Linked DNA regions of Xenopus tropicalis. The protein of the gene in region 2 purifies or fractionates together with the protein of the main gene of each other region. This does not show direct contact. Links are inferred from orthologs where the notes say so. Each region holds a gene or a part of one and is shown on either strand. Other genes may lie near its edges.

Evidence for each region.
Region 1: the proteins of ppp2r1a (region 2) and ints1 purify together in Homo sapiens (affinity purification with mass spectrometry; 4 studies listed by BioGRID and IntAct, with this or other methods). This does not show direct contact. The link is inferred for Xenopus tropicalis from reciprocal best matches to the Homo sapiens genes PPP2R1A and INTS1.
Region 3: the proteins of ppp2r1a (region 2) and ppp4c purify together in Homo sapiens (affinity purification with mass spectrometry; 7 studies listed by BioGRID and IntAct, with this or other methods). This does not show direct contact. The link is inferred for Xenopus tropicalis from reciprocal best matches to the Homo sapiens genes PPP2R1A and PPP4C.
Region 4: the proteins of ppp2r1a (region 2) and cttnbp2nl purify together in Homo sapiens (affinity purification with mass spectrometry; 6 studies listed by BioGRID and IntAct, with this or other methods). This does not show direct contact. The link is inferred for Xenopus tropicalis from reciprocal best matches to the Homo sapiens genes PPP2R1A and CTTNBP2NL.
Region 5: the proteins of ppp2r1a (region 2) and soga1 purify together in Homo sapiens (co-immunoprecipitation; 3 studies listed by BioGRID and IntAct, with this or other methods). This does not show direct contact. The link is inferred for Xenopus tropicalis from reciprocal best matches to the Homo sapiens genes PPP2R1A and MTCL2.
Region 6: the proteins of ppp2r1a (region 2) and ppfia2 purify together in Homo sapiens (affinity purification with mass spectrometry; 3 studies listed by BioGRID and IntAct, with this or other methods). This does not show direct contact. The link is inferred for Xenopus tropicalis from reciprocal best matches to the Homo sapiens genes PPP2R1A and PPFIA2.
Region 7: the proteins of ppp2r1a (region 2) and ndufaf1 purify together in Homo sapiens (affinity purification with mass spectrometry; 3 studies listed by BioGRID and IntAct, with this or other methods). This does not show direct contact. The link is inferred for Xenopus tropicalis from reciprocal best matches to the Homo sapiens genes PPP2R1A and NDUFAF1.

The regions. Positions count from the first base shown.
Region 1 is NC_030685.2:29,740,508-29,745,067, forward strand, and holds part of ints1 (integrator complex subunit 1), read right to left. Parts: intron 4,523-4,560; coding exon 4,346-4,522; intron 4,149-4,345; coding exon 4,040-4,148; intron 2,954-4,039; coding exon 2,833-2,953; intron 1,904-2,832; coding exon 1,826-1,903; intron 906-1,825; coding exon 748-905; intron 96-747; coding exon 1-95. UniProt on the Homo sapiens protein: Component of the integrator complex, a multiprotein complex that terminates RNA polymerase II (Pol II) transcription in the promoter-proximal region of genes.
Region 2 is NC_030683.2:120,838,264-120,843,518, reverse strand, and holds the start of ppp2r1a (serine/threonine-protein phosphatase 2A 65 kDa regulatory subunit A alpha isoform), read left to right. Parts: upstream 1-2,021; 5' UTR 2,022-2,032; coding exon 2,033-2,110; intron 2,111-5,255. UniProt on the Homo sapiens protein: The PR65 subunit of protein phosphatase 2A serves as a scaffolding molecule to coordinate the assembly of the catalytic subunit and a variable regulatory B subunit.
Region 3 is NC_030685.2:2,447,145-2,450,619, forward strand, and holds the end of ppp4c (serine/threonine-protein phosphatase 4 catalytic subunit), read right to left. Parts: intron 2,555-3,475; coding exon 2,425-2,554; 3' UTR 1,284-2,424; downstream 1-1,283. UniProt on the Homo sapiens protein: Protein phosphatase that is involved in many processes such as microtubule organization at centrosomes, maturation of spliceosomal snRNPs, apoptosis, DNA repair, tumor necrosis factor (TNF)-alpha signaling, activation of c-Jun N-terminal kinase MAPK8, regulation of histone acetylation, DNA damage checkpoint signaling, NF-kappa-B activation and cell migration.
Region 4 is NC_030678.2:60,504,789-60,508,096, forward strand, and holds part of cttnbp2nl (CTTNBP2 N-terminal-like protein), read left to right. Parts: intron 1-2,453; coding exon 2,454-3,308. UniProt on the Homo sapiens protein: Regulates lamellipodial actin dynamics in a CTTN-dependent manner. Associates with core striatin-interacting phosphatase and kinase (STRIPAK) complex to form CTTNBP2NL-STRIPAK complexes.
Region 5 is NC_030686.2:43,217,151-43,221,710, reverse strand, and holds part of soga1 (protein SOGA1), read left to right. Parts: intron 1-1,238; coding exon 1,239-1,298; intron 1,299-2,768; coding exon 2,769-2,851; intron 2,852-3,896; coding exon 3,897-4,560. UniProt on the Homo sapiens protein: Microtubule-associated factor that enables integration of the centrosomal and Golgi-associated microtubules on the Golgi membrane, supporting directional migration. Preferentially acts on the perinuclear microtubules accumulated around the Golgi.
Region 6 is NC_030679.2:52,676,267-52,680,826, forward strand, and holds part of ppfia2 (liprin-alpha-2), read right to left. Parts: intron 4,372-4,560; coding exon 4,196-4,371; intron 3,236-4,195; coding exon 3,138-3,235; intron 1,942-3,137; coding exon 1,766-1,941; intron 832-1,765; coding exon 763-831; intron 407-762; coding exon 247-406; intron 1-246. UniProt on the Homo sapiens protein: Alters PTPRF cellular localization and induces PTPRF clustering. May regulate the disassembly of focal adhesions.
Region 7 is NC_030684.2:115,761,064-115,766,204, forward strand, and holds the start of ndufaf1 (complex I intermediate-associated protein 30, mitochondrial), read right to left. Parts: upstream 3,344-5,141; 5' UTR 3,343-3,343; coding exon of another isoform or gene 3,341-3,342; coding exon 2,828-3,340; intron 822-2,827; coding exon 636-821; intron 1-635. UniProt on the Homo sapiens protein: As part of the MCIA complex, involved in the assembly of the mitochondrial complex I.

The DNA.
Region 1 (4,560 bases), on a different chromosome or scaffold from region 2:
AGGGGGCAGCTGAATGTTCTCCGGGTGGTGGTAGGTACACAGGTTTAACACAGCGTCCAGAAGCTGAATTCTTTCTATTCGAAGGACTTCCAAGTCTGCGGAAGTAAAAAAAAGTTCAAGTTCCTTAATTGCTATAACTTTACAAAAAGACAACCTTTGATGGCATAGCCAAATAAAGTTCCCTCATGTTTCCTTTACCCCTCTACGTGCTTAAACCTTTTACTCTATCAGTACCTTGTGTTGCCAGTAGACATGTAGCATGGCACAGAGCATCAACAGCTTTGGAACATAGGTTTTGTACATTCTAAGATCCAAAGCACTTAAAGGGCTTCTGTGCCTTCTAATTTTCCTGGTGAATTATGCTTTGTTTAAAGGGAATACCAACTCTGGTACAATATTATTGCATATCTATGCCTAGGACACCAGAAAATCTAGCAGTTGTGCATGATCAAGAAATTTTCTTTACACCCTTGTGCAGATAGCCAAATGCCATCAAGCTTATTCTGCTTTCAGAATCTTGTCAGGACATTATAACTATAAGAGGTCTAAGTGAGATCATAAGGAAATTTGTGGTAAACTTGTTTTTGGAGACCAATGTCATTTTAGGCAACTGTGCACTCAAAGCAGCATGAAAATAATGATATTATCACTTGTTCATATTTCCGTTAGACATATCCAAAGGGGTGGGAGGAGGAACACAGAAATAATAAGGACATTTTTAATTCTATACATGACTTGCTCCCATACCATCAGCCTGCACTGCTGCTGCCCGCTTCACCAAGTGATCCGCAAGCTCCATGGCATCAGCTGGGCCTAGAGGAAGATCACGGGATAAGCCAATAACCAGGATTCTCATCAGGGTGTCTTCAAGCAGGGGCACTTCAGAGCAGAGGCGCAGGAAGAAGCTTTTAGTTAAAAAAAGGGACACAATAAAATTAAAATTTCAAGCTCAGCAAGATTGTAGATTTGTTATTCTGGTGGGGACAATGATATAATCTAGAACAGCTTGACTCAGAGAAAATAACTTTGTCTCCCTATTTTACAAGCACCGGAATGAAAAATGTGCATGCTTGATGGCAGGGAAAGGGTTAACACACACCTGTACGCATAGGTATTCATAAGTTGTCGTTATCATTTATTAGATAAGCCATTAAGTAATGTTATATTTCACTGGGAGCCCTAGAATATTACTTTCTGCCTCTTTCCACTTTTATGCATTTGTGCTTCAGGAATTCTATATCAGTTTAGAACAGTACCATATATTGTTCATTGCTTGGTGGTGGTAAAGTTAAAATCTATTGAGAATGGCTTGGCCGAAGCAAGGGATTAATTTGTTTTGCAGTGCATACTGTGAAATACAATCTAAACAGATGATAAACCCAAGTCACAAATGTGTTTTATTATCCATTAATGTAACTGACAATTCAGCACACAAGCAATGCTGCATGACAGAAGGAAAAGGGAGAACTGAATGTTCCGTCAGCCAACTAGCACAATCAGAATAGGCTTTGTCCTTGTCATTGTGGAATCTACCATATTGCATACAGCTGTGTTTGTAATGCCCAATGCAGTTTAGAAAGAGCAGTCTCTCCTCTGGTAAGTGTTCTCAGTATTCCAGCTAACTTAAGTTTTCCTATAATGACAGTTAGCCAGTCACTAAAGTACCCAACCTCATGAAAGGTGCCTGTGGCTCTAAATAAAATCATTAATCAGAGCAGACTGTCTTCGGTTACAATTTTTCATAACAATGCTGGGGCTATCTAAGAGAGTAATAAAGGAAAACCAAAGTACTGAACACACAAAAAATTTAACTATGGTTTCGTACTTGCGATCACTTTCTGGAGGCCAGTTGTCCCATTTGTAGTAGGTTTCTGGTTGCTCTGTAAAAAGCACCTTGTGGAGACTTCATTAAAAAGAAATATAATCTGAATTAGAGTGCAATAACAACACTGGCAACTCCCAACCACCTTAGCATTGTACAACATTTCTATTCTTTTCATCCACTGAGCTGGGTTATTGTATTAATTAAAGACGCCAACCCCTAGTTCCCAAACTATTGAACTACAACCCCAGAAAGCACTGACTGATGTCAGTGTTTTCTGGTGTAAATCAGCTTGGGGGACAAAGTATAGAAACTTTGTCTCTAAAACAGTTTGTGTTTCTAAGACATTACCAAAAGCAAATTGTGCATTTTTAAATAAGTCATGGATTTGTGATTTTTTATTCTAAAATACAGAATAACGCTGTATGTGGATTCTAACTGCACATTAAATCACTTAGAGTAGATAACCATAGGCGTTGCTGCCATGAGGTGTGTTTTACAGGGTACAGCCACATCTCATGTAGCAACAGTATTATTAAGTCTTTTTCAAGTGGACAAAAGTAAATTCTGAATGCATTACAAGCAGAAAAAAAGTTTACTTTTCTTCTGCTCGGAATTTGTTTGCATCTCTGCAGACACGAATATATTCTGCTCAACAGGACAAACTATTTAATGTAGTGTTCTCAAATCAGCCACATGGGTTCACACTGCCAATCAAGTTTGAATGAACAGTTACCAGAATTTCTATGTAAAAGTCACCACTGGTTACTGGTCAACCTGGTTGCCTACTATTTATTAATAATAGAACATTAGCAAAGACTTAAAACTGTGGAGCAGAAGTTCAGAGGTTCCGATTCTAAACTTGCCACACACTGGAAGTAACGTTGAGCTTGATGCTGCAGAATACTTTTAAAGATCATTTTCAAAGTATGAAAAAAGTGGTAGCTCTTTGGCGTTAAAAAAAAATCAAATGGGGAAACTGCAGTAAAATAAATAAAAGTGAGGTATACCAATGCACATAATCTTTAGGAGATAGTTTGCAGATTGTAGGAACTACAGTGTGGAGCCACCATACTGCATCACGCTGAATTGCAGCAATTTGGTTCTGAAAGGATCGCAGGACCTCTAAATCTGGAGGAGAAAAAAAAATACAAAAGCAAAGAAATATAAGCTGCTGTATACAAAGCCAATCCAAAGCAAATCAATAGCTATCCCTGGAGTGGAGGAAATATTCAAGATTAACTCATTAAGTCTTCCTGTCATTAGCTTGGAGCTAATTTAATCTCAAGGGACAAAATAAGTTGGAAATGAAGAAAATCATCATAGCCCAATGTCATTAGAATAAAACTAGAGCAAAACAATTCACCAGAATAAAAAATAGTAATCATCATAAAATGATGAAGTTCAAAATCCTTAATGAAAGAAAGAAATAAAGACCAATTAAAAAGTCGTTAAGAACAGGCCATCCTATAACATACTAAACGTAAAGATACCAAGAAAAAAATGGTAAAATATAGCAAGGGCATCCAGCAGCAGTTACTATGGATACCTATGTATATATGTCTATATAGATATATATCTCTTTGGACAGAAGAACAGACATACATACATGCAAAATTAAAATATTTAATTTAGCAGTGTATTATTCAAGCAAGGAGAAAACCTTATGAATTAGTCGGCTGCTCTAAGTTGGAGACTGGGTCATCGTATATGACAGCTGGTTTCATTTTGAAAATGTTCCAAAAAAGTTCTAATGGACCTCAAACTTGCTTCTCCTTGACCGACAGGCTTCACGTCCAGAAATATCTATCACAGCAAACAACCATTCACCAAAATATCACTGTTATTGGTCTTCATAGTGTACCTGACCCATCCACTGCTGTGGCTCTGATAGAGGGCTTCTGGGAATTTCTAAGGCTAAAATTTGCATGTTGGTCTTTAATAGACACTGTTCTGTTGATGTAACTGCACACAGTCAAACAATAGTTTTCAGTGTATTTAAAGATCACAAGTTTACCAGTAATTAAAAAGCCAGAGATAATCTGTGACAGTTGCATTAAATATTACGGGGCTTCATTTGGGGAGGCCTCCCATATGAGGAAAGGACACCTTTAACAATAAATACAGCAAGGCTTATTGAGATGTGATGTGGTTTTTCAAAAGTGTCCAAGACAAAGTACAGCAAGCAGAATTCATACAATGTACTTTATTGCTTACTCTTCTTTTCTCCTTTGTCCCATGCAACGCCTGCCTCCTTCACTTGTGCTGTTATCCCCAGCATCATGGATACAGCCAGCAGATCTGTGATGTGGATTACAAAACGCTCCTAGAAAGTAAGATGTAAAGCTGCTATCAACTGATGATTAGTGCTTAATTTAAGATTACTGTGGTGTGTGCTAATGTAGAGGGATTAAACAAGGTGTTGTTAAGATTAGTAAAGCCATAAATATATCAAAAGACAGAATATGCTCTACTAAACAAAATACTTAGTATGAAAAGCAGTTGTTTAATTTCCCTGTATACCTTAAATTCCATATCTGTGTACTGAGCTTCCTTCCTCTCCTGCATTAGCCCTAGGCAAAATGCCTGAAAGTTTATCTCATGCTTTGTTTGTTTGATGATTTCGCGGAGCAGGGCCCGAGACGCTCGGAGATAGTCATCTTTATTCGTAAGGAGGTCTTGGAAAACCATAGCTAGGAACTGAGAAAAAATGCTACAGTTACTTGTAATGACCTCCC
Region 2 (5,255 bases):
TTCTGGTAAATAAAACATTAGAGAGGTTATTATTATTATATGATCCCCTTATATATTTATACATAGTTATCATGTCACCTCTTAAGCGCCTCTTCTCCAGTGTAAACAGACCCAACTTGGCCAGTCTTTCCCCATAACTGAGACTTTCCATACCCTTTACCAGCTTAGTTGCCCTTCTCTGGACCCTCTCTAACTCAATAATGTCCCGTTTGAGCACTGGAAAAAGTTTGTATACACAAACTTTTTTTTTTTTCATTTTACCACTTTGTTTTTAGTTTCTTTTCCCTAAAAACTGTTTATTTTGACAGCGTGACTATTGGATTACATATTCTGACCACTAATTACACTGTTGTGTGACTTATACTGTGTGCAAAAGCTGAGTAGGCAGGCGAGAAATCCATATGCACTATTTTCATTTTGGGGTTAGTACATACCGCAGACTTTGGTATATCTTTGCATAACTTAGGAAAGCTTTACGGCTTGGTACTTTGGAGTACAAAGAAATGTTAACCCATTTTAGATTTGGGGGAATTTGTACTTTCCAAAAAATATATGGCTTTCTGGGTGAGTGTACTTTTTTGTAGGATTATCCCACATAAAGAATGTAAATGTATTGATTTTGCAGGAGCTGAAATGACAATACATATGGGGGTATGTTCCCATTGGGGCCCCTACATGCCACATATTTAGGTAAACCTATACATTTTGGGCATCAAACTGTTCAGTGGACCCCTGGCGTTAAAATTTAGGGTGTTTTATCTTGGTACCTAATGATATGTGGGAGATAAGATGCTGCAAAGTGGAAGCTACAAGGGTATTTTTGGAAATGTCATCAAAATTGCCAACTTTAGGAAAGCTTTGCGGCTTGGTACTTTGGAGTAGAAAGACATGGGTACCCATTTTAGATTCGGGGGGATGTGTACTTTTCAACAATATATGACTTTCTGGGGTGAGTGTACTTTTTACTAGCTTTATTCCACATATAATGATGTAAATGTGTTGATGACAGAAATGATAGATCATATGGGGGTATGTTCCCATTGGGGCCCCTACATGCCACATACTTAGCTAAACCTTTACATATTGGGCATCAAACTGTTCAGTTGCCCCTGGCGTTCATATTTAGGGTGTTTTATTTGGTTACTTTATGACCTGTAGGAGATAAGATACTATAGACTGGAAGCTTTGAAGCGATTTTTTAAATATTTTGATAAAAACCAATAACTTTAGGAAAGCATTGCGACTTGATAGTTTGGAGTAGACAGACAGTTGTACCTATTCTGGATTCCCCAGAATCTGTTCTTTCCAAAAATGTACAATTTTCTGGGATAAACCTTCTGTTAGTGGAATTTATGGCCCTAAAATCTAAAGTATGCAGCTTTCTGGAGCAGTGCTTTGGGAATTTGGTAGTGTACTGCTGGATATTTGGTATTGGCACATTCAGGAGACATGGGATTTTCCAAATCAGTTGTATTTTCGTGAATAAAATAAATTTTTGTTTCTGGTATGTGTGTTTATATTATGGAATTTTATTTTTTCATTTTTAGACATTTAGAAGCTTATATCTTGTTACAGAATTCGAATTATATAAATATTGTACCATACGTTGAAAGCTTAGGTTGGCATTATATTGTTTTCCTGTGTAAACTAAAAGTCCCCCCTGAGGAAAGGCCCCTAAAGTGAATGTTCAAAAACTGCCTGGCAAAACAAGTAATACTGGCTAATGCTGTAATTCACCACAGAATCTATCCACCCTCTGTATGGTACAGAAAATACTGGAATAGTAGAACTGTTACTAAGATGCCATCACTTTATGCCCCAACCAATATGTCGGCGCCGCTACGTCTTAAACGTCATGCATCGAAACTCCTCCCTTCCTTAGCGACGGTCTCTCGTATGCCGCAATAGAACCCTCCGCCGTTGCTAGGAACAACACCCGCCCCCTTAGTGTCGTCACGTCCATGCCCCTGCAGGACTGCACTAGCGCCCCCGTTCGCCCTCCCGTTCATTCTAACTGACAGGAAGAAACAAGATGGCGGCGGCAGACGGGGATGATTCTTTATATCCTATCGCTGTGCTCATTGACGAGCTGCGGAATGAAGACGTCCAGGTCAGTGATATCTATGGGGGGTAGGGACGGCGGGAGAGTGCCGCGGTGGTTGCCTGAGGCACAGGTGTGGGCAGGGTTGTGCTGATCCATTGTGAAGGCTCATAGGGAAAGCTAGGCCCGGTGGCTTGTATGAGCCGTCTGACCAGCTATCTCCTTGCTTGTCACGTCACTACTGAATGAGCTTATAGGTCAGGGGAAGCTGCTCCTCTCCCTGATAGCCCCTCGGCCCCTCCCCTTCCATACATTGTGCTTTCATATTGAGACCCCTCCCCTTCCCACCGGACTGTGCCATTCATCGTCAGCCGGGGGCCCCTCCCCTACACCACACTGTGTGGGTCGTACCAACCAGTGAGCCTGGGGGGGGGGCTTCTCTTCCCTCACACAATTCAAAGTGACATTGCCATTCATACTAAGCATTTGTCCAGTGAGCTCATCCCCACACAATGCCATTTCCATGCCAAGCAATTAGCAGGGGTCCCCCTAAACACCCAGTACCATTCATACCATGCATTGGACCCCTACCCTTTGCCTCAGTGCCATGGATTAAATGTGGGTGTTTGCTGTGACTCAGGGCACTGTGTATACATAGGGAAGTTGTCATTCAGCCACTCTGGGATTTTGCAATGATTTAACCAGCAGCTGATGATGTGTAGCTGTTCCAGTTTCTGTACTCGATAGGCCAGTTGCTTTAGGCTGTGACATGGGTGTGTTGGATCGCAGCTGCAGTGCTAGGGTTTCTGCTGGAAACAGTAGCTGGGAGTTTACCAAATTTGACTACATTGTAGTTAGAAAAGTAAAAAGTTTTTCTACAAATTCATTGGCTGTATAAAAACACTTCTAATATGAAGTCTACACTGATTGCTGGTGCTGCCCAGGTCCAGTGGCACCCAAATGCATCTCAGCTGGGGAGTGATCCTCTGGGGGTTCCTGAAGGCTCTCTTCATGCCCATTAGGTGCATTGAGCACTTATACCCCTCGCCGGTGCTCCTGCGCGACGGATAAACAAGACAAGATGAAGAAATTGCCAGTGTTCACACTAACCCACAGCTGCTTGAGGCTCCTATGTGCCAGGGCTGGTTATTCAGCCGCTAGAGACTCCTATGTGCCAGGGCTGGTTATTCAGCTGCTAGAGGCTCCTATGTGCCAGAGTTGGTTATTCAGCTGCTAGAGGCTCCTATGTGCCAGGGCTGGTTATTCAGCTGCTAGAGGCTCCTATGTGCCAGGGCTGGTTATTCAGCTGCTAGAGGCTCCTATGTGCCAGGGCTGGTTATTCAGCTGCTAGAGGCTCCTATGTGCCAGGGCTGGTTATTCAGCTGCTAGAAGCACCTATGTGCCAGGGCTGGTTATTCAGCTGCTAGAGGCTCCTATGTGCCAGGGCTGGTTATTCAGCTGCTAGAGGCTCCTATGTGCCAGGGCTGGTTATTCAGCTGCTAGAAGCACTTATGTGCCAGGACTGGTTATTCAGCTGCTAGAAGCACCTATGTGCCAGTGCTGGTTAATCAGCCGCTAGAAGCACCTACCGTATGTGCCAGGGCTGGTTATTCAGCTGCTAGAAGCACTTATGTGCCAGGACTGGTTATTCAGCTGCTAGAAGCACCTATGTGCCAGTGCTGGTTAATCAGCCGCTAGAAGCACCTACCGTATGTGCCAGGGCTGGTTATTCAGCTGCTAGAGGCTCCTATGTGCCAGGGCTGGTTATTCAGCTGCTAGAAGCACTTATGTGCCAGGACTGGTTATTCAGCTGCTAGAAGCACCTATGTGCCAGTGCTGGTTAATCAGCCGCTAGAAGCACCTACCGTATGTGCCAGGGCTGGTTATTCAGCTGCTAGAGGCTCCTATGTGCCAGGACTGGTTATTCAGCTGCTAGAAGCACCTATGTGCCAGTGCTGGTTAATCAGCCGCTAGAAGCACCTACCGTATGTGCCAGGGCTGGTTATTCAGCTGCTAGAAGCACCTATGTGCCAGGGCTGGTTATTCAGCCGCTAGAAGCACCTATGTGCCAGGGCTGGTTATTCAGCTGCTAGAGGCTCCTATGTGCCAGTGCTGGTTATTCATCCGCTAGAAGCACCTATGTGCCAGGGCTGGTTAATCAGCCGCTAGAAGCACCTATGTGGTTAATCAGCCGCTAGAAGCACCTATGTGGTTAATCAGCCGCTAGAAGCACCTATGTGCCAGGGCTGGTTATTTAGCCGCTAGAAGCACCTATGTGCCAGGGCTGGTTATTCAGCCGCTAGAGGCTCCTATGTGCCAGGGCTGGTTAATCAGTTGCTAGAGGCTCCTATGTGCCAGGGCTGGTTATTCAGTCCAATGGCACCCAAATGCATCTCAGCTGGGGAGTGATCCTCTGGGGGTTCCTGAAGGCTCTCTTCATGCCCATTAGGTGCATTGAGCACTTATACCCCTCGCCGGTGCTCCTGCGTGACGGATAAACAAGACAAGATGAAGAAATTGCCAGTGTTCACACTAACCCACAGCTGCTTGAGGATCCTATGTGCCAGGGCTGGTTATTCAGCTGCTTGAGGATCCTATGTGCCAGGGCTGGTTATTCAGCTGCTAGAGGCTCCTATGTGCCAGGGCTGGTTATTCAGCTGCTAGAGGCTCCTATGTGCCAGGGCTGGTTATTCAGCTGCTAGAGGCTCCTATGTGCCAGGGCTGGTTATTCAGCTGCTAGAGGCTCCTATGTGCCAGGGCTGGTTATTCAGCTGCTAGAGGCTCCTATGTGCCAGGGCTGGTTATTCAGCTGCTAGAGGCTCCTATGTGCCAGGGCTGGTTATTCAGCTGCTAGAGGCTCCTATGTGCCAGGGCTGGTTATTCAGCTGCTAGAGGCTCCTATGTCCCAGGGCTGGTTATTCAGCTGCTAGAGGCTCCTATGTGCCAGGGCTGGTTATTCAGCTGCTAGAGCAGGGGGCTCAAACTCAATTTACCTTGGGGCCGCAGGAGGCAAAGTCAGGATGAGGCTGGGCTGCATAAGGGATTTCACAAAAAAAAGTCGGGAGCTGCTGATTGCGGAAATGACGTTATGCCATCATAACAGTTATTATGGGAAGACGTTCTGTGTGCACAATTAGCCCATAATAACTGTTATGATGGCATAACGCCATTTCCGCAATCAGCAGCTCCCGCCCGCCGTGCCTTGCATTATCCC
Region 3 (3,475 bases), on a different chromosome or scaffold from region 2:
CTCACATCAGCTGGGATTCTCATTGGAGGATTCTTTTGCATTTCTGCCAATGCGGGCCCTAGAGAGCTGGGAAAGTTTTATTGGGCAATATTGCTTTAAGAATCCAACCCTGATGTTGCTGGACTACAGCTCCCAGCATGCCTCACCCTTCATTATATGTTACATTATTCTGGGATTTGTAGTCCGGCAACAGCTGAGTAACGTTTGGTTGAGCCGCGCTGTGCCGCAGGGTTTAGTTTCCCTTTCCCAGGGGCACCGAGCTCTTGCCTGAAAAGAAGAGGTGGGTAAAAATGGGTTCTGTGTTTCATCCCCTCCCTATTAGAGGCGGTGCCTCCCACACCCCCGGCCTCTCTACATAAGGATCACTCATGTCTATAAATAAGGAGTGAGCAGAGAGGTGACAGTGTGCAGCCGGCACTCAATGTTCCACTCACTATTAATAACCCCAGAGAGGTGCCAGCGAGGGAACCTCCCATCCACAGGCTTTGGCACCACAATGGTTAAAGGGGTTTGTCACGTTTAAATTAACTTTACATATGATGTAATTTACAAGTACAATTTGCAATTGGTCTTCTTTTCTTATAGTTTGTTATTTAGCTTTTTGTTCATCAGCTCTCTAGTTTGGGATTCAGCCGCTATCAGGTTGCTAGGGTCTTGTGTAGCTTAGCAACCAGGCAGTGGTTTCAATAGACCAGAATATGAATAGGAGAGGGGCTGAACAGAATGAGAATAAAAAGTGCCATTAAAAAGGTGACAGAGCAACAGATTTTGGCTGCTGGGGTCAGTGACCCCTATTTGATGAAGGCAAATAATCCAAAAACTATAAAAATAAATAAATAAATAAGGAAGACCAATTGCAACGTAGAGGTAAGGGATCGGTTACCCAGAAAGCCCGAAATAACGGAAAGCCCGTCTCCCATAGACTCCATTTTAATCAAATAAAACCGATTTAAATTTTCTCTGTAATAATAAAACAGAGTGACGGCCTTCCCCTAATTCGGAACTTTCTGGATAACCGGTTTCCGGATAACTGATCCCATACCTGTACCTTGTACTTGACCCCAATGGAGATATAATTAATCCTTATTGGGGGCAAAACAATCCTATTGGTTGAATTAATTTTTTTTAGTAGACTAAGGTACGGAGATCCAAATTACAGGAAGACCCCTTATCTAGAATACCCTGAGCTTTGTGGATAACGGGTCCTACACCCGCCCCTTTTCTACTGACCAACCGAAGCATTAACAGACTTAACATATAAATATATACAAATACATTTTCCATTTTTATTGCTTTTTCTCATTTTATTAGCAGATGTTTAACTGTATCCTACCAAAAATGTAAAATTAGAAGAAAAAAAAAATAAAAATAAAAGGGAAAAAGGATAAAATCTTTGACCAGAAAGAGTGCGGAACAAGAGACTGGGGCCATAGACGAAAGGAAGGGAGTTATAATGGAATATCGGCTGTTCCAGGGAAGGAATCGGAGGTTTGGCATTGTAGGTGGCAATACACGAGCTGAAGCTTTAGATGCCTCCTTGCCAAAGCAATCTCTCAGCTAGCCGCTTACAAAGGGTTAAACAAAATGGCTACTCACGTTCCCGGCAGCCCAGAATGGCTTCGCTGAGCTACAGGGGCCAGCTACGGTGAACACTTTGGCTCAAAAGTTGCCAATCGGCACCAAAAGGGGCTCAAATCTTAGATCTGCCGCAGCTTCTAAATAGAGAAGGGGCGGCGGGTTCCATCATCATCATCATCATCATGTCTCTCCTGGTCCCCCCCAGCTGGGATTGGGCGCCCGGGCCCCGCTTGCACTAAGGCACTCCGTACGTGAGTGTAAGCTCAGCATCTTAGTACAGGGGACGTGAGGCTCCGAGTGGAAGAGACATTATAAGGAATGACTGCGGATCTGGGGGGGGGGGGGGGTTATAAAATCAAGGAAGAAGCTGTGAATTCTAGAAGTATTTTGGTTTCCTTGCATAATGCTGCCCCCCCCTCTCTCCCTACTAGAAAGCATCACACTGACCCCCCCTGAAAGTCCTGCAGAGCATTACATTTACCTAGTTTCCTGAGAGGCGCAGCACGGCTACAGGAGTTTCCGGATATCTCCTCCTTTGCTAGAAGAGCTGGCAGGGCATTGCTAATTCACTGTAGGGGTGGCACGGCCATGCTATATACACAGCGGTAGCTCTCTCTTCCCAACCGTTGCTACCTAACACATACACACACACACGAGGCTCCGTGAGATGGATCTAGAAAAGAAGGGGCGATGCTCTGCAGCGGAGCTGGGCGCTGGCAAATCATTTGTTTAGAAACAGCAGCACTGGTCCCGTTGCCAGAGGTGAGAGGAGGAGAGAGAGTTGTGCTGGGAGCAGTTCAAAAAGACAATCAGGAGGAAATGGTGCAGAGGCCATCATTGGGCGGGTCACAGGAAGTAATCAGCGACGGGTTTCTTGGAGGGGATACCTCTCGTCTCCTGGGGGGCAGCCTCAAATATGATGAATTCTTTCTGTAGGTGTTCGTCCAGCTCAAGTATGGCGGCGACATTCCCGCACCTACAGAGAACACAGAGTCAGGCTGCGGGGGGGCACACACTCACACTCAATGAGCGGAACTAAAGGGGACACTGTGTGACAACCAATATTGTGCCAATGAATTGTACTCATCTAAATGCAGAAGGAATGGGCTTTAAAAAGTAGTGTTTGGGGCTGATTTATTGAGAAATTTCTCCAAAAACCCACTTCCTGCTGCCTCCTTTCCCAGGCTGTGCAGGGGGGCCGGCGGCACTGTAGGATAGGAACCAATCAGCAGCTAGGCTGACCTGATAGGGAACTGAAGCCTGTCTGTGCTTGTGTGAGTTCAGGGCTGTGATTGGCTCTCCCCCTCCTAGAGGGACCATTAGGACACGCCCACCCCTCACTGGAAACCCAGACAGGGACCCGAGAGGATCTATAGGGAGCTCCAATAAAGGGGCCATTGTTACAGATAGGGTTAAAGGAGACATATCCTATAAAAATTAAGAATGTACCAGGGAATTATACTCCTCTAGATATAGAAGGATTGTGCTTAAAAAGTTGTGTTTCTGTACTGTAGGATAGGAACCAATCAGCAGCTAGGCTGACCTGATAGGGAACTGAAGCCTGTCTGTGCTTGTGTGAGTGCAGGGCTGTGATTGGCTCTCCCCCTCCTACTGTGCTTCTGGCAGGGACTGTTAGGACACGCCCACCCCTCATTTGAAACCCAGACAGGGACCTGAGAGGATCTATAGGGAGCTCCAATAAAGGGGCCATTGTTACAGATAGGGTTAATGTTTAGCCCAAAGGGAAACCAGCACCGGATATTATTCATAATTGCCTACAGGGTTAGGGGTTTCCCATTTATCCAATATGTCTCCTTTAATGTTTAAAAGGAAACCAGCCTACAGGGTAAGGGTTTTTCCCCTTTATCCTATCCTTATCCTATGTCTCTCCATTAAA
Region 4 (3,308 bases), on a different chromosome or scaffold from region 2:
GGTTGTCAGTGATTATTTATTTCTAACTTTTATGTCATGGGACAGTTATGACAAAGCCATGATTAAATCTTTTCACCTTTATATTGGTGTAGCATAATGTTGCGTAACATTTTAGCTTCTGAAAGAAGATAAGAGTTAGGGCAAGCTGTATGATCAGAATAAAGATAATGAGGGGAATTCACAAAAGTGGTGATATTGTGACAGAATAAAAGTGGAGATAGATTTGTGAGATTTTCTACCTTATTCACAAACCTCTATCTCCACTTTTGTGAATTTGTCTTTTAAACAGACAGTGGTCGGATTTTGTCTTTTGAATGAAATTTTACCAACATTTTTTTATGAATTTGTCTTTAGCTCTTAGTAAATCTCTCATCTACATGAGGCCTGTAATAATGATTTTGACAGAAGGATTTTGCATTTCATTTGCTGTCATTTCACTTTAGGGGCATTTCCTGAAGGGGTATTTTAGTCGACAAGGAAATCTATACATAATTTTTTGGGCTTTTTAATGTTTTCTATATTTCTGTGTAATTTCATTTCTCTAACAAGATTTAAGGGTCTAAATACCCTCTTCATGCACTACTTCTATAGTCCTCACTGATTACTAGTCGACAGCAATATAGTCCACCCCCCAACATACCCGATAAAAAGGGGCCCAACAGAATCAGGGTGCACTAGGTTTTTTCCCAGTGCCCTGTTGGGCCATTCCAACCTTGAATTCACAGTGCCCCAATATTCCAGTTTGGGTGCCATTGTGCACGTGCTGTTTGCTAATTACCAAGATTAGTTTAGCTGTGAACCGAAGGTACACAGCTAAACGTGGGGGACAATGCTGCCAATCATCTCTATAGTTTTGCTATGGGGGCACAGATAAGTTGTGGCATATGTCAGTGAAGTGATTAAAGAGGGGACACTGCTGCTAAAACTAAAGATTTGTCAGGGCGGCTTTACTTTTCCTTTAAATAAAAAATGTGTACAATATATTCGCTCAAAATGTTATTATTGACTCATTCAAGTCAATAATGTTATTATTGACTTGATTCATTGAGCTAAAAGTAGGATAATAATGCAAATGTGAGGTAAAAACTTTGTATATGTAACATTGTATAAATTGCACTTTTTGTTTAGTCAGTGTTTTACTTGTTTATAAAAATGTTAATGGGCTTGTTGCACCTATTGCTCTAGGGTTAGACACAAACTTGTCCTCTGACAATAGCCTGGTAACCACCATTAATATGCTGGTGACCCCCCCTCCCCAATGATGCCTCTACCAGAGGTGTGAAATGGAGACTGGGTGAAATAAAGCAAAACAGAAGAGCTTAGAAGTGATCTGAGTTACACAGCGCTTTACTCCATTGTGAAAATGTTGGAAAAAATGTTGTTAAAATGTAATATAAACGTCGTTTAAAAGACAAATTCCCAAAAGTGCCTTTAAACTGTCTTTCTTTCACCTAAAACTAAAAAGAGTCATAATATAGGCGGATTTCTGTTTGTGAATATGGAGAAAGTGTTTTACACCAGTTTTACCATCACTCTTGCTCCAAAAAAAGGCTATATCCATTTTTGTGAATTCCCCCCGATTTATATTAAAAGTTTAGAAATGTTAAAGTACATATGTAACCTAAGCATCATAGGGGTTGGGATTCATATTGATTATCCATGTCAACTATACACACACATTGCTACAGGTTTTGTAAATTTGCATAGAGCTTTGTATAATCAATACAACAGCAAACAGCATCCCAGAGTATCAATTCCACTCCACCCTTCCCTTGTTTCAACTTAAAGTGATGGATTTTGGAACTTAAAAGTCCATGACCTCTGCTTTACATGGTGGCCAGTTCACATATTCTCTAGGAAGCAGAGAGACTTCAAGTCCCAGAATCTACTAAGGAGGTCCCTGCCCATGGATCTTACAAGTTCAACTATTATTATATAACATAATACTACTTTTGTTTAACCCACTTCAGCAGTAAAATAGCTTCCTTTTAAGCAAACATGGAAATGACAAAGGAGCAGTATAAATAATGACTAAAGTACGCATGAACAGCTTGAATAATAACCATTAATGACAGGTCTGCCGAAAGCATGTCAGTTACTTCAGCTGACTTCAGCTGTGTTTTATTGACTATTGTAAATTTAAATAGGTGAAATTAGAAATAGGCAACAACTTCAATGAGATTTAATCAGTTAGGCTTTTTTTGATTCCAACCCTAAAATTAATCATGGTAATTTTAGTAGGTAAATGTGGAAATCAGAATTATCCAACCTAGAGAAAGATTGGATGAATGCAGTGTTTGATGCTGTACGTATATATGCTAATACAATGAAAAAGTATAGTATTCCTAGCCTAATCATATGTAGCCTTAGTTGTTCTTTAGAAAACTGTTATATTCCCACATATATTATATTCATACATTTATACATGTATTTTTATGCCTCTATATTTTCAGCTGGAATTTGAGAAGTCCCAAGTTAAGAAATTAGAAAAAGAACAGAAACGACTTTCCAGTCAGCTGGAGGAAGAGAAAGCCCGCCACAAGCAGCTGTCATCTGTGCTGATGAAAGAGTGTACAAAAGCCAACAACAGGGCAGTGGAAGAAGGACAGAGAGTAGATGATGTTAACCTAAAGCTGGAAAAGGTTAGGAGCAGAGTAAGTCAGCTAGAAGAAGAGCTATCTCTTGAAAAGAAACGAGGCTTGCAGATAGAAGCACAGGTGGAAAAGCAACTTTCAGAGTTTGATATTGAGAGAGAGCAACTGAAAGCCAAGTTAAATAGGGAAGAAAATCGCACAAAAACTTTGAAAGAAGAATTGGAGTCCTTAAAAAAGACATTGAAAGAGCTAAACACCACCCACCAAGTTTCAGTGCCTTCATGCAAGGTAACAAGTGAGCTGGTGTCTATTTGTGTATCAACAGAGAATGCTGACGTAGTATCTGTGTCATGCCAAACCGATCCCTTCCAACATGAAAAAAGTTACACAGATAATTCTGCAAAATCCAATGTCTCATTTACTGCTCCATCTAAGATTCCTCAGCCATATTCCAAAATAAATGGACACTGTAATACATCAGCACACAGCAATGAGCACATTTTAAAATTAAATGTGGGAGACAACCAGAAAGAAAAGTGCAATGTATCAGATAGCCTTTCTGACAGTGGGAACTCTCCAGTCAGAGTAGAGTCTCCTCTGCATATGACAGGATATCTTCCCTCAAGTGGTGCTTCTTCCTCACCCATCAGTACAGCAGCTTCTTCCTTAACTTCTTCTCCATGTTCTTCTCCAGTGCTTTCACGTCGTCTGATT
Region 5 (4,560 bases), on a different chromosome or scaffold from region 2:
TTCTGACTCCAAAACAAAGTATAAATAGTTTGTGGGATGGTGGCGCTGAGTGGAATCATATTCTTATCTCTTGTAGCATTACAGGCAACAGAACAGCCAGAGAGGCCTCATTATCTTGCTGGTATAAAAATAGAAATGTGGAGCTGGAGAGAGTAACTGCTTGGGCATATAATGTAGCCTTCTATCCTGCTCTATCCCGAATAAGTTAGATGTTAAACAGGTTGTGTAGAAAGCAGTTTTCTTAAAAAAATAAATAAATAAATGCATTTGAATGTATAGTTTTTTCTTTTGTTACTGAAGTATAGAATTTCAACTGCTATCTAATTGCTAAGGCTTTGTTATCCTAGCAGTCAGGCAGCAGTTGAAAAATCATAACGAATCAGTGGGAGAGGTATACATAGTACTGCAATTCTGCCCATATATATATATATATATATATATATATATATATATATATAATATATATATGTGTGTGTAAATGCAAAAATAGAAATGTTTATTACTTGATGTTTCGGTCTCACACAGAAACGTTCATCTGGAGTCATCTTGTTTTTCACTCCAGATGAAGGTTTCTGTGTGAGACTGAAACGTCTATTTTCTATTTTGGCATTTACATTTTGCTCACAATTCTTTGAATCCTAGGAGTGCTGTCCTTGTTCCAGTATATATATATAATATAGTTCATCTAAATGTTCAGGAGCAAATGTTGATCTGGGGGATTTCTGCATATATATAATATATATATATATAAAACTGAAACAGCCTTGATTACTACAGACTAATGAAATAGTGCCCTCTAGTGGCCAAAGTATCAACATTTACAATCTAATTAATTAATGATGAGCGAATTTTTTTTGCCAGGCATGGTTTTGCAGTGAAATTACGCATGTCACCATTGGCAAATTGTTTTGCCACAAAAAATTTGCGGGCATGTAAAAAAAGGCACACTTGTGCAAGTACCTGCATTTTGCTGATTTTTCCCAGTTTCGTTAATTTCTTTGCCAAATCAAAACGGGACGGATCACTAGTTATAACAAACATATAGAATCCTATAATAATATCCTCTCCAGCACCAACATACCCTGATCCTATTCATGGGGCTTGTAGATTATAAGTGCATTTTTTTTGCATCCATTACCCCACAGCAACCAATTAGGAAATGGCTATTACTATTCTATAAAACTGTGCCTTTGCCATGTGTATACCATATAACAGTACCTGTTTTATATTGACTGCAGAAGGAAGCAGATTCCTGGGTGAAAAAAGAACCTGAGAGGAGGAGCAGCTGCTGGAAAGAGGTGAGCAAGTTGGTATTCTCCTGCTGTATTTTCTATGGCAGGTACATGGGCTTCAGTTTGCCCACCCCTTGCTTAGGGGCCAGTCCATCCTACAGTTAGTCCTACGCTGATGCTTTAGCATTTATTGTTTATATTTTTAAGGGTAAATATCACACACCTGAGAATAGTTCTCTACTTTTCAAGCCCAATAAACTGCCTATATAGTACCCCCACTGAGCTTATTCTATTTGGGTTCTTAAAACTGGGAGCCTCCATATATATTAATTGCAATACAACTCCCAGCATGCATCTACCATGGGATCCTGGGAGTTGTAGTTTAAAGCAAATACAAGTGGCAGTTTCCAGGCCTAACAAATGTAGGTGCATTCCTACGCTTTTAAACGGCACAAATATTGTTGCATGTGCTGCTTTCCCTTGCTATAAAAGGCTTCTCTTGCATCAAGCAGGGGCTTCAAAAATAGATCCTTCCACCACAGAACATCCTCTCACTTATCAAGCTGTTGCTTTTGAACCATCGGACATGCTTGTTTTGTGTAGATAAATTGAAATCAACCCAAATGCATAATTTGTCCCCCCCAACCCTCTGGTTCGGCTGCCTATTCCAGATGGCTTGTGGCATAGAGAAATAAAACAACCTTGCTTTTGGGCAGCTCTAGCTAATTGTCAGGGGAGTGTGTGGCCTGACCCCAAACAGCTGCCACCTACATTGAAAGACTATGGTAACTCTATAGTTCCACAGCTGCTCTCAGACATGCCTCTTAACCCTTTCATTCCTACAGCGAAAAAGATGCATCTTATTGAATCTGCATGCATATCTGCCTTTACTTTCCAAGTGCCAGTTTGCCAAGCGTGTAATAAATAAGCCCACCTAAAGGTGCCCATACACGGGCCAATTCTAGCTGCCGATATGGCTCCCTTAGACTGATTCGGCAGCTAATCGGCCCGTGTATGGGCACTACCGACGGGACTGCCCAACCGATATCTGGCCTGAAATTGACCAGATCTCGATCCGGCAGGTTTAAAAATCTAGTCGGATCGAAGACCGCATCAGTTTGTTGATGCGGTCCCCAAACCGACTGCCCCATTGCCGCCAATATAATTTGATCGTTTGGCCCATTAGCCCACACGTTCCCGATATCGCCCACCCCGTAGATGGGGATATTGGGTGAAGATCCACTCGCTTGGCGATCTCACCAAGCGAGTGAATCTTCACGTGTATGAGGACCCTTAAGTTTGCCGAGATGCAATAACCCATAGCAACCAATCAACAGGTAATATTTACTGGCCACTTGTTTAAAACCAAACATTTCATTGGTTGTTCATAGGTTACTGCACCTGGGCAAACACTTTTTATTACAGCTTTATGTAAGGGGGTTATAAGTAGGGTTTTGTGACTTTGTTCTCATGTCAAAGAGCATGATGCCAACAGATATGCCTTCCCATATAAATCCTGTGCTTGTTTTACCCTAGGCTGTCAGCAATAAACTTCAGGACAAAGACATTGACTGTGACTGTGACTGTGACTCCGATGCCAGTGTGACCAGCTTAAAAAGGTAAGGTGTATTGGTACTGCTGTTTAGCCATTCCTGTACTTTGTAACCTTCATCCATTGAGCCCTTGTACCAGTATCAGTTAGTTTGTCTTTGGTGTGTGTGGTGTCTTTGGTGTGTATGATTTAAAGGAATTGTTCAGTATAAAAATGAAAATAGATAGACTGTGCAAAATAAAAAATGTTTTCAATGTAGTTAGCACTAAATGTAATCCATAAGGGCTGGCTAACATACCAGCCAGGACTTGGCTTCCTCCTTTGCAGCTCTCTAACCTATTAAATGTCAGTAACCAATCAATGACTTGAGGGGTAGATATATGGGACATAACCGTTTGCTTTGGAATCTGACCTGGGTGCTAAGAATCAAAAGCAAACTAAGTGAACAGTTATGTCCCATGTGGCCCCCCCTCAAGTCGCTAACAAACTAAGAGGTTGTAGAGCTGAAAGTTGGAAGTTGGGTTCTGGCTATTATGTTAAGGTCCCCATACACGTGAAGATTCGCTCGCTTGGCGAGAGTGCCAAGCGTGCAGATCTTCGCCCAATATTCCCACCTACTGGTGGGCGATATCGGGAACGTGTAGGCTAATTTGATCGCTTTGCCCTGGGGCCAAACGATCAAATTATATTGGCGGCAATGAGCAGTCGGTTCGGGTACCGCATCAACGAGCCAATGCGGTCCCCGATCCGACTGAATCTTTTAAAATTTAACGATATCTGGCCATTTCAGGCCAGATATCAGTCGGGCAGGCCCCTCGTTTCTGCCCCTACACGGGCCGATAAGCTGCCAAATTGGTCCAAGGGACCAATATCGGCAGCTACAATTGGCCCGTGTATGGGGACCTTTAGATATCCACTCATTCCAGCCTTTATAGATTACATTTTTGGTTAACTATGAACAAGAACAACATTATTTTTTTTTATCTATTTACCCAGTTTTATTTTGACACTGAACTGTTCCTTTAATCGGTTGCTTATGTAGAAAATGTGTCTGAATATAAAAGTTGAATATAAAAATATAGCATTTCACTTCCTGTTCAATTTTGCTTTAGGACCAAATCTGTATCTTCCATGTCAGAGTTTGAAAGTTTACTCGATTGTTCCCCCTTTCTGCACGACAACACATCCTCTGCTAATGGCGAAAATGCCAATGAGAGGAGAGGTCTACCAGCTTCTACACTCTTGGTCAACGGTTCTAAAAACTCAGAAAAACATTGTTCATATGAGGGTAATGACAATTCCCTGGCCGGACATCTTCCCAAGGGTAACCTGGTGATCTCATCCTGGGATTATACGATGGCCAAGGCTGATAATCGTGTGGATGGGCAGAAGCACATACAGAGAAGCTACACGGCGCCAGACAAGACAGGCATTCGGATTTATTATAGCCCACCAGTGGTTCGGAGGCTCGATGTGCCTTTGGTCCAAAATAAAGAGGATAAACTCATGGTAGAAACGGGATTCCTGTTTACCATGGCCAAACCAAAAGAATCAGAAAAATCAGACGGGTTATCTGGGAATTCGTATAGCCGCTGGCTTTGTAATTTCTCCAAAAAGCAGCGGGATTTGTTGGATGGCGATTCAGTAAAAGACTCTTCTTCTGTCCCAGGGTTTCCATCTTCCCTCGGGGATTTGGAGATTTCTGGTAACATGAGCGATGATATGAAAGAAATCACAAATTGTGTTCGACAGGCGATTCGCTCTAGCTCCTTAGAA
Region 6 (4,560 bases), on a different chromosome or scaffold from region 2:
GATCTGACACTGCTATGCCCATAAGCCCACCAATAAAATCCATGTAGAATTTTTATAGAAAGACAGGAAGAAAAACATTTGTCTGTATCTTAGTAATTTTCAGTTCTATACTGGAACCTTAGCAACAGACCACACATTTAAGACAATACATTTTTGTGTTATATTAATAGTGTTGTCAATCTGAGGCAAGTATACAATATATTATATTCTGTTTCTCCAGTCAGAGCTAAAAATATAAAGCCATACCATCTGTTGTCATTTTCCGTGAATGCCCGGATGTTGTTGTTAATCTGAATCCTGCTGGCAGTGTTTCCGAAGAACCTGGCATCATGCTGATTCCGTGCACTTCACGTGGTGGAAACTGCCTCCTCCAGGAGGGCCCACGTCTGAAGTTCTTGTCATCACTCTAGCAATACAAAATATGACAAAAATGAAACCGAGTCTGAGTTTTCTTCAGTAAATTTGGTTACAATGTTTTTTGAAAGTCAACAAGCTCAAAAATGGCCTTTGTGTTCTTATCCTTAAAGCAGCATGGCTGAGGGTGCATGGAATAGTGAAAAAATGAGTTTGCCTCATGTTAATTTGCCCAAAAAATTGCTCTTTTAAAAAAAAATAAATAAAAAAAATTCAGTACAGGATTCTGATGTGTGTTAAAAAACAGATTCCTGAATCTTTTGATTTCAACACCTTATTTGCTGCTTTATTATGAAACATTGCTCATAGCACTAATGAATCAACAGTTTGAACAATTTAGCTGTTTACCTCATCAAGGCGCCTTTCAGTTCCCAAAGCCAATAAATTATTGTATTCTCTTTCCAGGATCTGCCGTGCCTGAAATATTCAAGTGAGAATGATATGAACTTCCTCTAATAGCTTTGGATTAGTCAGTGTGTTAAACAATCTCTAGTTTAATAAAATACAAAACATATGACAGTCAAATACAATAACATTTAATAATGCCCCTGCCGAAAAGCCAAGACAAAGACTGATTGAATTAAAATTAGATTCAAGGGGGGGAGGGATATTTGGGAAAATAGTAATGGAAAAGGGAGGAAAGGATAAAAAGAGAAGAAGAGAAGAGAGAAATATAAAAATAGGGGGATAAAATGTAATAGGAACAAACAAAACTAAAGGGACAAGGGAAGAGAAGAGAGGAAAAGGAGTGAAGATAAGATGGAAAAGGGAGAATTAACATGCACAGGAGGAAATGGAGCACCCCTTGCTGTTATAGCAGGTGTAGTCGATCTATGTTAGACTACCCCCTTTTATTAAGCTGATAGATATTATAGGCATTTAATACCTATAAAATGTTCTAAGAAATAATTTAAGATTTTGGGGGTGATTTATTAACATTCAATTGATTTGATTTTTTTCATGATTCAAGTATTTTTTCTTTAAAAATTCAAATTATGGGTCAAAAACGAATGTCTGCTATTTATTAAGTGCAAAATGCTTGACTGTACAAATTCTCCCTCTAAAAGCACCAGTAGTCCATCATCTAAAAGCGAGTTTCTATAGAAGTCAGTGAGTGTTGCCATGTTGGCAAACCTGAATTTTCGAGTTTTTGGAATTTGTAAACTTGCAAAAATTTGAGGTATTTGAGTTTTTTATTCAAACAAGTTCTCCTTATTAATAAGCAAACATTTGACATGCAGGTTTATTCGATTTAAGAAAATAATCTTGAATTCATAAACTCGAAAACTGATAAATGAGCCCATTAATGTAAATCAAATCAGTGTGGTATAAAGAGGATTAAGAGTCTCACCTGAGTATTTTGTGTTGGGATTTGTAACAAAAGAGCTAAACTTGTGTAGTCAAAGTTCTCATCCAAGGCAATAAGTGACCCGTGGATTCCACTCTCCAGTATGTTGTTTGCATAATCTCTAAGGCCTATTGCTTGGATCCAGCGAATCACACGATCATTGCTCCACACTAACACATCTACAAATAAAAACATTTTTCAATTGGTGTTCATTTCGTGTAAAAGAAATGTACAACTACAAACTGTATTAGTGTTTTGTATACTCTGTGTCAGGTGTGTTACATTTGTATGGATTGTATATAAATTATAATGTGGCAAATTGCAATTTCATATTGCAGCATCTGCTTTTTACTAACAGGGAGGCATGAATTGTACAGCTGAAGAGGCCCTTGTTATTGATGTCCTATCAGACTCATTGTAATGTTCTGCTCTTTAAAATAACACAAGTATTTAAAGGAGACCTGTCACTCCTACATAAAAAGCTGTATAATAAAAGTCCTCAGCAAATTATAAAACCCAAATCCTTTTTTTTATTCTAACATCTGTAAATGTCATTCAAAATCTGAGCTGTCATATCACCTGAGGCACGGAGGAGGGCAGTAGATTACTTTCACTTTCCCTTCAGCACTCCCTAGATGTCACTGCACCCCTCACATTCCCCTCCCTTCTTACAGTCTACAATTGTGTGCCTATGCATTGACATAGACATCAGGTCCCCAATTCTGGTGCATAAACAAGATTTTGGCATGATGCAAAGCTAATCTTAATAACAAAATGGCACCTGTCTGCTTGTGAATGTCTTGTGAATTTCAAGACTAAAGGAAAGAATATTTGAATAATTTATATAGTAATTAAAGTTTATTTTGCTCAAGTAACATGATAGAAAAGTATTTTGAATTATTTCTTAAGGTGTCAGGTCCCCTTTAATTGTTCTGATTCGGCATATGGGGACGGCTTGCTCCTGCAACACTGTACATGGGGGTTCCCAAAAGATACAGAAAGCTAAGGTAACAAGGCAATGTCCTATAGTGATCAATTTGTGTCACTTTTGATCTTTGCATTTATGTATGTTTGATAAAGACACTACTTACTTGTACAGAAATATTACAAACATTTATTGAGCACTTATGCTTGGTATGCTAGATGTAGTAACATAGCAGTAAAATGACATAGTACTTTAAAGTACAAAACTCCATAAGTCCATCAAGTTCGCTTTTTTTGTCTAAATAAAACCTTTGCCTCAAAAGGGGAAACATTCCTTCCTGTCCCCGTGATGGCAGACATTAATGTCCATACAAGATTTAACCAACAGAAATTGTTTAGGAAGCTATCATTCTAGAAACATTCTATTAAGGAGACAAGAGGGAATACATACCTTTAATTTCATGCTGGCTTGTTTCTCTTCTCCTTTCCAGCTCCTTCCTATCATAGTTTAATTTTTTCAAGCACATTATGCCATACTGCAAACTTGTTCTGTGAATTTTAAGACAAATGAAAAGACAGTATTTAGAGATATTTGCAGGGTTTATATGGGTTTATATGTAATATTTTTTAGGATCTGAGTGAATATTTTTTCTGAATATATATATTCGGTATTTGTGCGTCCATGGCAGGTGTTTTAAAATCTATACAGACTTCCTGCTCAGGCATTCACAGCACTGTAATTGCTTAGTGGCACCAGAGTAGTTCCACTCAGGCTCATGGAACATGCAGCATATTCTCTGCTGGTGTTTCCCATTGGAAGCAAAGTAACTTACCATACAGCATGTCATTTGTTTTAATGGAAACTACCTGTTACCAGCTGTTTTATCCTGAAAACTAGTGATGAGCGAATTTTTTCGGCAGGCATAGATTCACAGCGTATTTCCGCATTTCGCCATTGGTGAATTGTTTCTTGAAACTTCAGAGAAAAAAAAAGTTGTGGTCGTGGCAAAATAGGTGTCAAAAAAAGGGTGCTGCCGTGTAAAAAAAAATCATGCGACACACATGTTTCGCTAATTTTTCCGCAAAGCAAAATGGGACAAATTCGCTCATCACTACTGAAAACACATAGGCTGTTGCAATATCAGGAGCAAAGTTTGCAAGACTTATTATCACCTATAGAGGTCTGTTAGCAGGAAACAGTTACTGGGCACCTGTATAAAAGCAAGCATCGTATTGGCTGCTATGGGTTACTGCTCCTGGGAAATGTTCCTTTCACTAACTATAGGGGCAAGTGTGCCATGAGCCTTAAAGCCAATTATCCTACTGAAGGAAAACTACTATCAGAGAGCTGACTTATACTTTGGAATTTATCAGGTTCCTTCACGTGTGAAATAAAGGCATATACCAAACTGATCATTTCTATCAAAATAAATGTAATTATATTCAAACACAAACATTGAAAAGAATAGTAAGACGCTATCAGTGAATAACACTTTTATATAAACCTACCGATGAAAGCTATCCACCATTTTTAAGTGCACTCGAAGATCTTTTTTTGTTAAATGGTCTAGCATCCGGGCATCTACAAGGCATTCCATGAAGTAACTTCTGTACTGCGGTAAGCCCAGACTAGGAAGCCATTCATTCCCAATCCACTCATGGTTCATATCGCCATATGCCAATGTCTGTAAGGTAATATCCAAAGGAACTATTATGTCAATATATTACATATTTAAACAAAGCTTGAAGGAAATCACATTTTGCTATGACCATACCAGGCAGCAATGGTACTGAGGCACCAGTAGCCCACCTAATTTCTTCTAGAAGAAGCAGTTCACTTAACAGTAATTTTCAGTCTAATACACCTATTAATG
Region 7 (5,141 bases), on a different chromosome or scaffold from region 2:
GAACTCTAAAGCCTCCTTACAATTGTCATTTGGCACAGTGCCCAGGTCCTGTATCAGATATACAAATTGCATAATATTTTCTACCATTAGCTGCTATTATTTTTTCACATCTTACTGCCAGTTATTTGAACCTTTCCCGAAAAGGAAAAAAGAAAGGTTAGGATTCATCCCTTACGTGTAACTCTCAGGATATTGTAGTGCAAAACCTTATGTTTAAATAGATGTTTACAGATGGGGGAAACTCCCATCTCCTCTGGGTTACAGAGGGAGAGAAGTCCTGAAAAATGAGGACTTTCTGCCCGTTATCCTTATACACTCATCCCATCCGCTATAGTCTTTGTGCTCTGGGCAACTAAGGGGTCCGGGCAGGGTGAAATGGGGCACCCCTCTGTCTAAGCAGGAAACTCAGAACAATGGCATCCATTAGGAAGGCCCACCCACCGGAAGTCCAATGTCCCCATGCTTAAACTGCCCAAGCTTGATGTTTTTTTTAATGACACCTCTTCTCTGCAGGAAGTGGCTGCAATCTGTCATTTTTAGATGGGATTAAACTATTACACAGCCAGATATTAGTTTGCCCAATCTTGGCAAACTCATCCCAACCTCAAATACAGGATTTAATGGTTTTCTTTTACCTTTATGTCTTGCCAGTAAGGGCCTCCTTGGGTGTATATGAAATAATTGTATAGATCATCCCTTTGTTGGGAGAAATAGCTGTCTGACTTGATGTTCACCATCCAAGGTCGTCCATCCCCACGTACTCGCAAGTACAGAGTGTTAAAGTTGGACCAGTCATAATGCAGCTTACGATTGAATGCTCCCTACATGTTAAAAACAAACAATCATGAAACATTTATGTGCATTGATTTATACCCTGAGGTTTTTGCAATGACAGATTTATTACTCTGGAGAAGACAGGCCATGGTTGCAATCACACATGTGAAATGTTATTTGTTGGTAAAGCCAAGCTGGCAGTCTGCTAACGTTCATTATTATCTGGCCACTGGGGGAGCTGTTACATTAAAGTTTATGGAGATAAATACTTAAAGAAAAACTGTCATGGGAAAACATTTTTTCAAAATATATCAGTTAATACAGCTTCTTCAGCAGAATCCTGCATTGAAATACAATTTTTTAAAGCACAAACATTTTTTATTTTGTATTTCACATTGGGTTAGACATATTCTTCATTTCCCAGGGTGCCACAGTCATGTGACCTGTGATCTGATAAACTTCAGTCACTCTTTACTGCTGAGCTGCAAGTTGGAGTGATATCCCCCCTCCCAGCAGCCGATCAGCAGAACAATGGGAAGCGAGCAAGATAGCAGCTCCCAGTAGGTATCAGAATAGCACTCAATAGCAAGAAATCCAAGTCCGGCTTGGGACTCCTCCAGTTACATTGGAGTAGGAGATATATTAAGTTACCTGAAAGCAGTTCTAATATGTAGCACTGGCTCCTTCTGAAAGCTCAGACACACAATGCACTGAGATGGCGCCTACACACCAATATTACAGCTAAAAAATACATTTGTTGGTTCAAGAATAAAGTGTTAAATGGTAGAGTGAATTATTTGCTATGTAACCAGTGTAATTCAGAAATAAAAAGTATGCCATAAAAATCATGACAGAATCCTTTTACCTAAAAGAGGAAATAAATTGGAGGTAAACCATGCATATTTCATAAAAATTGTTTATAATGGAAATGGTAATGGTCCACTCCAGTAAGTAACAAAAACCAAAGGCCGTTGGCCCTCCAGCTATAAATCTCCAGCTTTCCCTAATGGCCACTGTAGTTTGATGCATGTTGCACATACCTACCATTAAATATTCAATAAACAGACTGTGCACACTTAACTGGTTTCAATATAAAATGTAGCAGTTCACCAACATTCTCATTAGTCTTTTATTTGGAACTGCTATCAGATCAGTCTAAATATTAAATAAAGGCAGTGAATAAATGGTACAGTGTAGCCTTTAAACATTTAATAATGAGCACAGCAACCCACACCTTTACTGCCTTTTATAGAACATTTCCCCCTGACACTGCCATATATTTAACCCAATATATAAAAAGGCAATAATTTTGCCTAGGTGCCGTAACCCATTAGCAACCAATAAAATGGGTAGAGCTATTCTAAAACAACAATAATAACTATTTGGACAGTTATTATCTGTGTGTAGCTTCTGTTCCGCAGCTCTTCTGTGTTGCATAGTAACCACACTGTTGTTAAGAGGGACAGTGGCTCAAGGGCAGAGGCTAAAACACAACAATGCTTTCCTATTGCAGTTGCATTGAGTGGCTTATCTAGCTTAAATCTGCCCATGTATGGCCTTAAGTCTGCCCTACAGACGCCTGGGAAAGGTAATTAAGCCATGTAGCACTGTGTATTTTTCCCAACAGTAGCACCAACCCCAGGGATAAAGACATAGCAATTTTATTCACTCGGGGGGCGCCCAACATATTGGCATCCCACAGTGAATTTGCTATTCCTTCATATTTAAAAGTTACATTTAAAAAAAAAAAAAAAAATTTATGAACACTAAAAATATTTAGCAACAGATGTGATTCTTTAAGTTCAGCTTTAGTATGTTACACTGTAGACTTATTTGTTACAACTTTTCAAGTGGTTTTCAATATTTTTTAATCATAGTTTTTGAATTATTTGACTTCTTCTGGCTCTTTCTGGCTTTCAAATGGGGGTCACTGACCCCAGAAGCCAAACTGTGTCAGAATATCAGTCTTTACATCAGACTAAAAGTAAATATAAAGGCGAACAACCCCTTTACATGGAAGTGCATTATTTCTCTTTACTAGCACTGTACTTACCAAAGGGGTTTTGGACTTCATAGTGCAGTACCCACTGTATCTTGTTTCGCCATCCCGAGGAACTTCAGTATTGAGGGTACCATAAAAAAGAGCTGTCTGATTGTTCCTTCCCAGCTTTAGAGACACCTGACTTTTCCCTCCTATCTCCTGGTCTGACGATAGAGTCCATTTGTCCAGATCCTCTAAGCTTCTGAACTCCCAAACAACATTTGTCTGCTCCAAAATATTCTCCCTCAAAGTCTTTCCCCCAGGACCTCTCAAATGATCCTCTACTTCCTTCTTCAGCAACCCAAAGTGTTTCTTCACTCCTGCCACTCCCTTCTCAAAGCTGAAATTGATCCTTTTCCAAGGAGGAGTGTTGTCTGGGGGGAGGCCAGGCCTGCGATATTTGCTGCTGTACAGTTTGCATTGCAAGAGTTGTGAAGACGGGTGCAACAATGGGCAGAATGGTTTAGTCCATCTGGGATGTCTGCACAGATGTAGCTTCTGTATTATATTTAAGCTTAAAGCCATTGCTGTTTAGATATAAAATAAAAATGTTCAGTTTATAAAATCCTGAATGTTGCATGAAACCCAGGGGCCTTTACCTAAAAATAATTTGGGGTTTGAGAGAAAAAGACAATATCATTTAAGACATTTAAATACAAATACATTTTTTAAAGAAATCTGTAGAAGTTACTGTGTTTTTCCTCAGGGCGCAATTATCAACATCAAAGATTCTTGGGGGGGGGGGGTTATTTACAAACATATCTGCACCATTGCAACCAACCAACATTGAATACATTACAGCAGTGGGGAGCATCAGGTAAGGTGTGAAGTTTAAGAGAGCAACTCGCTTGGGGGAAGGGACAGAGACATGTGCTAAGTAGGTATTGTGGGTTTAGGGCTCATACATTTCCTAGCAATGCATGCTGATACATATACAGAGAGATCATCATCAATAACCAAAAGGCTTACCCCTGGAAGCAGAAGCTTAGGAAGGCAAGGTCATCATTTCAGCAGAGACTGACATAACAAAAGAAGGTCAAGTTGGTGCAAAACAATGTAAATGACAGAAAGGAGCTTGGATACTATGTGCCTTTATTGCCTAAGTGGTAAAGCCCTGAAGGACCCTGCATAGCTGCCTGTACCGCAACAAGTTCCATTATATACCTGGTATGGGGCTGCAGCTGAAGCAAGCACACAGTATTACCATTATTCCATAAGGCTACAGCGGCTCACCTCCACAGTGCACTCCTTCAAGGAGCCATAGTACTGACAACCCGTGAACCTCTGAGCATGCGTGTCCGTGTCGCCTCCTAATGACCTCACCGCTAGCCAACCAATTAAACGTGAGAGCGGGCAGGCAAAGGCAGGCATGCGCAGATGCGTTGCTGATGGAACGCATGGGAAAGCGTTTGTATACAGCTTTATTTACACCTAACAAACATTCTTGAAGACAACGTTACAGATTAGTCTACCTAACTAAGATTATCATTCATCTATCCAGCCATCACGTGCATTCAAAATTATGAATTTATAAGAAACAGTGAGTTAAGAAGATCGTGTTAGTTTGTGTAAAAAGCTTAATACATATACCACATACTAGGCAATATTGCATCCCTTTTCCTCAGTTTTAAATATTATCCTTTATTTATATATCACTCATATATAAATGCAGCACATTGCATTGATTATGATACTCATCTGCCCCTTTGCCATTGGAGCTTACAATCTAAGGTCCCTATATCATTTACATACACTAAGGTCACTTTCATCAAAGGCCAATAAAGCTCACTGTATGGTTTAAGAGGAATCACAGTTCCCAGAGGAAACCCACACAAGCACAGGAAAAACATACAGTGCCCAGATTGGAACCAAATTCAGGGAGCCGTGCTAATTACAGGCCACCAGTGTAGTTTACATCATATGTCTTAAGTATTTACTATTAGGCCTTCAGTGCTACTTGGTGAAAGTAAATATCCAAAAAAGAAAAAACTGCCAATTGATGACCTGATTCATTCTCTGGATTGGCCACATTTTAATTAGCCAAATGGAGCAAAATCTTGTATGTGACCAAAACGTTAACAATAAAACTGTTTCCTAACACTTAGTAAGGCCTGTGAGTGCAGTTACTTTTTTATTGATTTTCTATATGTGTACATGAATGCATGTGCATGTGCATATGAGTTGGAGCCAGTCCCACAGTACCAGACACAAAAAGCCGCAAAAGACTTTGTCCTTTCTTAATATCACAAAATTACAAAGTTGATAAAAAAAAATAGTTTGAGTAGGAAGCATTTAAGGGAAACTAACACAAAAATGATTGTTATAG